Linked DNA regions of Daphnia pulex. The main gene of each other region encodes a partner of the protein of the gene in region 2 in a complex. Links are inferred from orthologs where the notes say so. Each region holds a gene or a part of one and is shown on either strand. Other genes may lie near its edges. The genes, in order: vacuolar protein sorting-associated protein 41 homolog and vam6/Vps39-like protein.

What was found.
Region 1: vam6/Vps39-like protein (region 2) and vacuolar protein sorting-associated protein 41 homolog share a complex: the UniProt entries of both Homo sapiens proteins name them as parts of the homotypic fusion and vacuole protein sorting (HOPS) complex. The link is inferred for Daphnia pulex from reciprocal best matches to the Homo sapiens genes VPS39 and VPS41.

What each region holds. Positions count from the first base shown.
Region 1 is NC_060028.1:9,539,052-9,543,317, forward strand, and holds the start of vacuolar protein sorting-associated protein 41 homolog, read right to left. Parts: upstream 2,837-4,266; 5' UTR 2,705-2,836; intron 2,624-2,704; 5' UTR 2,618-2,623; coding exon 2,423-2,617; intron 2,342-2,422; coding exon 2,183-2,341; intron 2,128-2,182; coding exon 1,805-2,127; intron 1,743-1,804; coding exon 1,588-1,742; intron 1,519-1,587; coding exon 1,300-1,518; intron 1,237-1,299; coding exon 1,131-1,236; intron 1,069-1,130; coding exon 917-1,068; intron 858-916; coding exon 703-857; intron 639-702; coding exon 460-638; intron 396-459; coding exon 206-395; intron 145-205; coding exon 1-144. Other genes in the region: peroxidasin-like, read right to left, coding at 3,525-3,588, 3,661-3,766, 3,842-4,040, 4,130-4,227. UniProt on the Homo sapiens protein: Plays a role in vesicle-mediated protein trafficking to lysosomal compartments including the endocytic membrane transport and autophagic pathways. Acts as a component of the HOPS endosomal tethering complex.
Region 2 is NC_060022.1:6,334,203-6,338,508, forward strand, and holds the start of vam6/Vps39-like protein, read left to right. Parts: upstream 1-1,303; 5' UTR 1,304-1,380; coding exon 1,381-1,453; intron 1,454-1,588; coding exon 1,589-1,792; intron 1,793-1,866; coding exon 1,867-1,967; intron 1,968-2,047; coding exon 2,048-2,251; intron 2,252-2,322; coding exon 2,323-2,500; intron 2,501-2,562; coding exon 2,563-2,810; intron 2,811-2,881; coding exon 2,882-3,011; intron 3,012-3,081; coding exon 3,082-3,224; intron 3,225-3,285; coding exon 3,286-3,652; intron 3,653-3,716; coding exon 3,717-4,115; intron 4,116-4,200; coding exon 4,201-4,306. Other genes in the region: porphobilinogen deaminase-like, read right to left, coding at 1-122, 185-272, 335-420, 477-660, 740-812, 889-939. UniProt on the Homo sapiens protein: Regulator of TGF-beta/activin signaling, inhibiting SMAD3- and activating SMAD2-dependent transcription.

The DNA.
Region 1 (4,266 bases), on a different chromosome or scaffold from region 2:
AGCATCTTGGATCGGGTAGTAATCGCTGCTGCGGAGGAAGGAAAGTAATTTTTCTTGCGCATATTCGGCGTAGAGGGAAACTAAAAGGCCGTGGAATTTTCGGCTTCCTTCCTTTGGTTCTTTGAGATACAACGCGTCCAGATACTACAATTGTAGCGAACTTGAATTAATTAAAAACTCACACGATAAGTTTTGAACGACTAACCTTGAATAACAATTGTGGTTTAGTTTGTAGACGTGACACCACTAAATCGGAAGGAATGTGTTCGCTGTGTTCTAGGAATAACGTACAAGCTTGGTTGACGTCCAGTTCCATTAGTGCGAGGATTTTATCGTGGACGGTGGTGAAGAGCTGATGTTGAGCAATCAACCGAAACACATCAGCATGCTGAAGTCTGAAACAAAAACTATTTTGAAATCCGTATCGCGATAACAGAATAATAACCTTGTTTGACGTACTTGAGGTACATTGCCAGGGCTCGATCGTATTTCTTCTCGTGAGAATACAAAATAGCCAAGGCTTCTAGAAGAGTGGTATCATCTGGATCATGGCGAAGAATGTGCTCGAGCACAGCGTTCATTACAGCTGCAATGTTATAGAGCGTAGGACTCCATTCTCTTACTAGCCGAAGAAAGCCCTGGAAATAGAATAACGTTTAATCATTTCTTGATTTTTTTACTCATAGTATTATGTGTTCTTACAGCTGAATCAGTTTTGAGAAACTCGAAGAGAACCATTTCGTAAATATGTGGATCCAATCTACATTCACCTCTTGGAAGATAAGGGGTAACAGCCCGTAGTTGGTGCAATCGAGCAAACTTGAAAACTTCCTCTTCCCAAAGATTTTTCTCTTTGCCTGTTTGAGACGAACAATTTATAAGAACGGCTAAAGTGAGTACAAATTACTGTACGAACCCAGAATTTTAACACAGAGCTTGGCAGCCATCTGGAACTCTCCCTTCGACAAAAGGAAATCGAGGTACGTCCTACCGACCTGAAGAACAGAATGGCATTTCAGTTCACGTGCTTGTGGCCCCGTAACTGCTTCCATGGCTTCTTCGTATTTTCTATTTTAGAAATAAGATAGTTCTTTTTGTGAGAAAAAAAAAACTTTGAAAGTTGCGCTTACTGATGTTCCATAAGCCACTGGACGTGATCGTCAGGATTGCGCGGTTTAGCTAAAACAACATCTTTTGGACTAACGATGAAAAATTGACCCTCTTCAGCCAGACATTCTGTAAATTGGCCAAAAGTAGTGGTCAATTCCAATCATATACCAGGTTGATTTGCTTTATTACCCAAATGATATTCGTTGCAAGAGTATTCCTGAAAGCCACGAATTGATAAAACATCTGCTGAGATTTCATTGTAACTTTCCTGGTGTGGTTCCACCAACTTCATTTGAGGTCTTTGACCCTTGCCAGATAGTTCCTCGTCTTTTGGAACTACTAAAAGGGCTAAATGATTGCCCAGCCATCCAGCGCCAGCCACGAATGAGTCAATAATAAACATCGAAACTGGAAAAGATAAAATTGCATCTATAACGTTAAGAAAAAGGGAATACTATTTTTTCAGGGTAAACGTACCAATTTCAACGTAATGTGTCGGAAGATTTAGTCGCTCTGCGTCAGCATCCGGACGCCTTCGGATGACACAGACCTTGATGTCATCTGCCCAAGCAACGACCAGTGTCAAATCATCCTTCCAATACAGGATACACCGATAACTTTCTGGGTTGATTCTGTATTTTTTATGTGGGATTTAGTAAACAGTTTCTAATAATATTTAAAAATGTATGCATACCCAGGGCTGATATCTTTCTTGACAACGCTGATTATGCGGCGAACAGACATGTCAAAGACTCTTACTCCCGTTGTGCTCGCCCAAGCAAGAAACCTATTTTTCCACTTAATGTTAGTGATTTCACCTTCCCCTTCAAATAAGGTGGTCGATTTAAGGCGAGAAAGAAACACTTTTTCATGTAAGATAAGCCTATCATCGCCAGTTACGAATCTTCTTCCAGAACCAGACTTGTAGTACAGCGGATCAAGAGCAATAGCTTTGACAGGTCGATCAACCATTAGTGTATGGCAATTTTCTGTAGAGTAAAGCCCAGACACCATAACCTAGAAAATTAAAGATTTTTATACCTGAAAGTGAAAACTAAATGCTTCAGTCTACCTTTCCATCATTTGAACAGCTACCAATATAGTCTCCTCCACTATCAATATCAACCATATTTATTGCCATTCCATGAGTGGGAAACTCTTGTTGCTGTGATGAATGCCCAAGATGATCAAGTAAATGCAATGCTCCCCAATTGGTTCCTAGACACATAAACTAAAGGGAAATGATAAAAATATACTACAAAATACATAGACATTTTTAACAAACAAGCACTGTCAATTTAATCATATTTACCTTAGGATGTACAGCGATACAGCTGGCTGCATCTTTCTTCAGGATAACTGTTATATCATTGGACAATCGCTCATACTTTAGCTTAGGTTCAACTTCTTCTTCTTCATCATCATCATCAGCAACAAAACTGTGTGACATCTCTGCAGCCTGCTCCACAAAATCATGCTGTTCAAGCTTGCTAACAGTTTCTTCCATGATTTCCTAACATCAGTTAAGGGAAACATTTTGTAAGGCAACATATAATCTAAGTAAAAATGAAAAACTAACTGAGAAACTACTTACAAATAATATAATTTTTTCTGTGTAACAAAATAACTAGAAATCGTTTACTGCGCCTTTTAACTCTGCAACATTTTATCGTCACTGAAGGGGTGTCAAATGCAGACGACTCTTGATCTTTTTGTTATTGTTTTTGCTGGTTTTTGTTAGTTAAAATCATAAAATGGCAACGTAGGAGCACAGAGCATGATTAGTACGTTTTTTGATTTGACGTGCAATAGACTTTCTCTGCAGTTATTTTTTAGAAAGACAACTTTAATAATGTTTTCTTGTACCATGGTATAGGATTTCTATACCATGCTTTAGCTACTGTAAAATTTCATCTTTTCTTGGCCCACATCCACATACTGAGACAGTGAAAAGCTGAGAATAATGTGCCTTCAATGTAGTGAGTAGTTCATTTCTATATTCTTTGCAATTTCTCAAAGTTGAATAACTACAAAACATTAATCTCTTTGTTCTTTCATACTATTCAGGATGATTAACATTGAATGGTGGTCTCCATGAGCAAGAACCCAGTATCCAGTACCATCTTAATCATCACCGGTAAGTCAAGTTTTCAATTAATTACGTATCTTTGACCAGATTTATTCAAAAGGGAAAAAATATCTGTATCAAGGATAAGGGGGAAATAGCTATATTTTCTGTCGTAGTATAGAGAACATGTACTATTCAAAGGAAAATTAGATTTATCAAAGTATACAGACAATGTAGTCTTCTATTGGTTTTCCCTTAGTCCCCCCTCCCTTCACCATTTTACAACACAATTTTTCTTAAAACTGCCTGTGAAAACCATGCATTTTCTTGATACCCATACAGATGCTTATTTGGTATATTTCACAAAGTCCATTTTTGGAATGCTACTGCATGAAGTTGGCATATTTGTGCTATAAAATGATTGTTTTAGAAATCAAATTAGTTCATTTTTTCAAGTAGACTTGTGACAAATTAATCATTACACAGTTGGTGTACGGAAGGCCTGCGGTTGAATTTGCGCAATAGTTCCATCACTGTTGTCACAGATGATGCGGGCAAGACTCACTTTCTTGATTTCGACCAGTTGATCTATTAGTAACATTTTTTTTTCACATAGTAATTGAGTAGGCCACTAAAGATTACCAAAATTGGTTTTGTTCTTACTTGCAGTGAAAGAAACCGATTGCGTTACATCGGTATAGAAGAAACGATCAGATTGCCTCAGGTTCTCAAATTGCTTAGCTATAATATAAGTAAATGTTGGTCCCACCAGAGATCCTGGTGCTTTTGTCTCTGTTACTCCACCGATGTATAAATCAATGTCGTTCACCGAGCCATAAATTTTCTTGAAATATGTTACAATCTAAAAGTGATGGTGAAAGTGTTTAGGTTTTGCACCATAAAAATGTCTATTAAACAAAGTTTTAATTGGCGAGTTTTAAAAGTGCATACTTCTGGTGAAGTGGTTGAATTTAGAGCATCAAATGTCGTTGGGAGTGGTGTTTTCAAATTCAAGGCAATTTGTCGGGCTTTAATGTAATTCGGCAGACCTATAATTGCATATCAATAAATATTTTAATTCATTGCTT
Region 2 (4,306 bases):
CGTACATGCTCACGTCCGTATCAAGATATTCTGAAATACGCGATTCCCAGTTCATTCGCTTGACTCCAGCTGTCGCTAAAATGAGTGCAGCATACGTTCCTTCGTCGTCTAATTTGCGTAGTCTATCACAGAAACTCGCGATTAATGACGAAAGATTTTATCTATCGGCGAAATTATATTATACCTTGTGTTTAAATTTCCCCTTACGTCTTGGATTGCAAGGTGGGGAAAGTGGCGCTTCAATTGAGCTGCTCGGCGCAACGAACTCGTTCCTAATAAATAATGACGGGTTTGAATACTTGATCACTCTTTCTATTGAAATTTTTCAACTGACCTACGACGCTGCCACTTGGTAAAGTTGCTAATGTACACCCGGAAAACTTGGGAGCCATTAAGACTGCGTCTCTAGGATCTTCTCGCCTAAAATGCATGTGAGTAAATAATAGCATGATCATTTTGGTTTTAAAATTACTTACTCTAGAATGGCACCGATGACCATGCCTTCAGGAAGCGTCGTCGGCATGTCTTTAAGTGAGTGTACTACGAGATCGACCTTATTATGTTCCAGAGCCACCTCCAATTCACGAGTGAACAAACTCTTTTCGCCAATTTGTGATAATGCTCTGTCAAGCACCTCGTCTCCGATGGTGGTCATCGTTTCTTTAAATGATAAAAGTTGTTTTATCTGAATTAATTTCATGAAAGGGGCCAGCGAAGCGCAAATATGCGAAAATATTACCGAGATGAAATGTTTTGTCTTCATAGTGTTGAGTGAGGAGATCGAGCACATGATTGCTTTGAACAAGCGCAAGCTAAAATCAAATATAGAATAACGTCGCAATTTTTGAAGTATGCGCTAGCGGAAATAATGATTTATGAGAATAATACCTGACTTTTGCGGGAACCGATACGAACGGTTGGTTTCGTCAAATCCGACATCTTCTTCAATGAATATGGTTCCTTGGTTCTTTCTGGGAAGGGAAACGTGATGAAGACTAGAATCTGATTAGAAATTTGATTGTGAATATGCGATAGTATTTCATAAACAAGATGACCAAGCAGTGAGGCAGCGTTGCGTAGAATAGAATATTTTGCGCTAAATACAAGGATTATAAAGAAAATTCACTTGAATATTGATAGGTCGGTGAGCAATTACACATTGACAGAACTTAGAATTTTTTAATATTTAATTGCTTGTATATTTTATCTTTCAGTTAGGTTGAATTATTCTGATTTTGGAATTTCTTTTAAATTAAATTTAGTGTGTGTAGTGAACTATAGATGGACATTTGTATGATGTCTGCTACAAAACAACAAATTCCCCCCCCCCTCCCAGTGTCATGTCAGATTAAAACACCATACAATTAGTGATTTTTAAAAATGTATGACGCCTATGAGGCGTTACCAATTTTGGAGAAATTACCTCTCCAAATTGAATCTATAGCTGCTTATGGTAATTTTACTTTAAATACAGAACCACTGTTTGATTTTAATTTATCAACTAGTCAACTGTGCCTTCTTATTATTTAACTATCCTTCATCTATATTATATGAATGGGTTTTATTTACATTGAAAATTTGTTTTCAGATGAACACTTGTTAGTGGGAACCCAACAAGGACATTTGTTGATGTACAGTGTTCTTCAAGGCGCAAGTAATGGTGGCAGTGCTGAAAGTTCTCTCAGCTCACGTTGTGAAGTCCACTTGCTAAGGTCCAACAAATATTTTGCCAAAAAACCAATACAACAACTAGCTGTTGTTCCTGAACACCAGATTCTTATCAGCCTTTCTGGTGAGCTTAATGTATTTAAGTGCCATTTGGTTTGTATAGGAATCTTATAACCAATTCTTCTTTATACTTTTCAGATTACCTTGTGTCTGTTCATGATTTGACAGTGTTTAATTTTCCAGTCATAACGTCACTTAATAAATCCAAAGGAGCCACATGTTTTAGTCTTGATGTCAAGGTAATATTTTTTCCCTTCCCAGAATCAACCAATGACTTTGATGGAAGTGACAAAATTAAACTTTTGTATTGTTCATTTAGAGACAAACTTCTTTGACTGGGGAGATATCAGTGGCAGTGAGGCTTTGTGTTGTAGTGAAGAAAAAACTGCAGCTTTTTTATTGGAAAAATCGAGAATTCCGGGAGTTAGGGCCGGATTTGTCGGTTTCCGATACTCCTCGGACTATTGGTTGGTGTAGAGAAACTCTTTGCTTAGGTTTTAAGGGGGAATATTGTTTACTCAAGGTATTTTTCTTTTGTAATTAACGATAATAGATTTGCTTAGGCAATAAATTATATTTTTTAACTTTTTATAGCTGGAAGGAGAGCAAAGAGATTTATTTCCCACTGGAAAACAGCCTGAACCTTTGGTATGTGCCTTACAAGGCGATAAATTCGCCTTGGGAAGAGACGAACAAACAATTATGATCGATATCGATGGCAATCCTTGCACCAAGTATACACTGACGTGGTCCGAGAGACCGATCCTATTAGGTAAAAGATACCCCAATATTGTTCAGAATATAACCTAAGTCGACTAATCAAAATGTTTGCAGTGGAGGACTCTCCATACATTCTGGGTGTGTTGACGTCTTGCATAGAGATTCGAGCAGCAGAGCCACGGCTCCTTGTCCAGCGATTAGAATTGCCAAAGGCCAAGTACATGACGTCAGTCATATCGAAGAACGGACAGATTTACGTTGCATCTCCCTCTCATGTTTGGTGTCTACATTTAGTCCCTGTACATTTGCAATTACCTCGCTTGCTTGAAGACAAACATTTTCAGTTGGCCATTCAGCTTGCGGTATGTTATAAATAAATTTTTCATAATTTTCGAGATGATGGGAAATAATGAGATTTTTCGTTTATGATTAGAACTTGTCTAACGAACCACAAGATATTCGCTCGCAGCAAGTTCAACACATCCAGTCGTTGTTTGCTTTCAATTTGTTCCAGAAACACAACTTTGACGAATCATTGCAGCTATTTTTCAAGCTTGCTACTGGTGATTAAAGAGAGAGCAAATGTATGAATTGAAATTATTTTACTAAAGAAAAAACCGATTGAATTTACAGATCCTTCTTACGTGATTGGTCTATTTCCCGATTTATTACCAGTAGAATTCCGGAAAAAAGTGGAATACCCCGAGGCTGTTCCCGTTTTGCAAGGTAGAGACCTCGATCTCGCTGTGTTGGCCTTGATTAAATATCTCACTGAGGTTGTTACAATTTTTAATATTTATTACCTACAAAGAGTTAATATTTGTTATTCAATTGTAGGTTAGGAATGACCTTATGAGTCAGAATGTCAAAACAGGAACCAACATTATGGACGTTGGTTCAAGCTTGAAGCTAAGACGTCAACTATTGGAAATAGTCGATACGACCTTGTTGAAATGCTATTTGTTGACCAACGATGCCCTGGTAGCTTCTTTGTTAAGACTACGAGATAACCATTGTCATTTAGCAGAGAGTGAACGAGCGCTGAAGCGCCATCACAAACATGCTGAGCTTATAATCCTTTACCAAACTCGCGGCCTTCATCGGAAAGCATTGGAGTTGCTTCGGAAACACGCAACTAGCTCAGAAGATTTTGGATCCCCCCTTGCTCATCATGACCGAACTGTACAATATCTCCAACATCTAGGTAGCCTAAACATGACTTTCTTTGAAACTGTAATATTTTTAAAAAAGGAAATCTTGTTGACTAGGATCGGAACACACGGACTTAATTTTTGACTTCTCCTCGTGGGTTATACAAAGCCACCCAGAAGATGGTCTTAAAATTTTTATTGAAGACTTGCCTGAAGTCGAGGAACTCCCACGTGCCAAAGTCTACGATTTTCTGTATAAGAACCATCGCTCTTTAGCTTTACCCTATCTCGAACATGTTGTCTACGAATGGCAAGATTCGAACGCTCTCTTCCACAATGCCTTAGCCGTGCTCTACAAAGATAAAATTCTCAGACTTGAAAAGCAGTTACAAGAGGATAACAATGACCCGGCAATTAAATGTGAATACCAAGATTCAAAAGCAAAGTTACGATCGTTCCTTGAAATTTCTCGGCACTGCTCTCCCGAGGCTATACTAGTTCAATTCCCATACGACTGTAAGTGACTTTAAAGATGTTTATGCTTTGGCTTTTTAAATTCTGCGTAATGTTACATTTTGAATTTTTATTATTATATATGTAGGCTTGTTTGAGGAGAGGGCCATTTTACTGGGCAAAGTTGGTCGTCACGAGCAAGCATTATCAATCTATACCAACATTCTCAAAGATTTACCGGCAGCAATAGATTA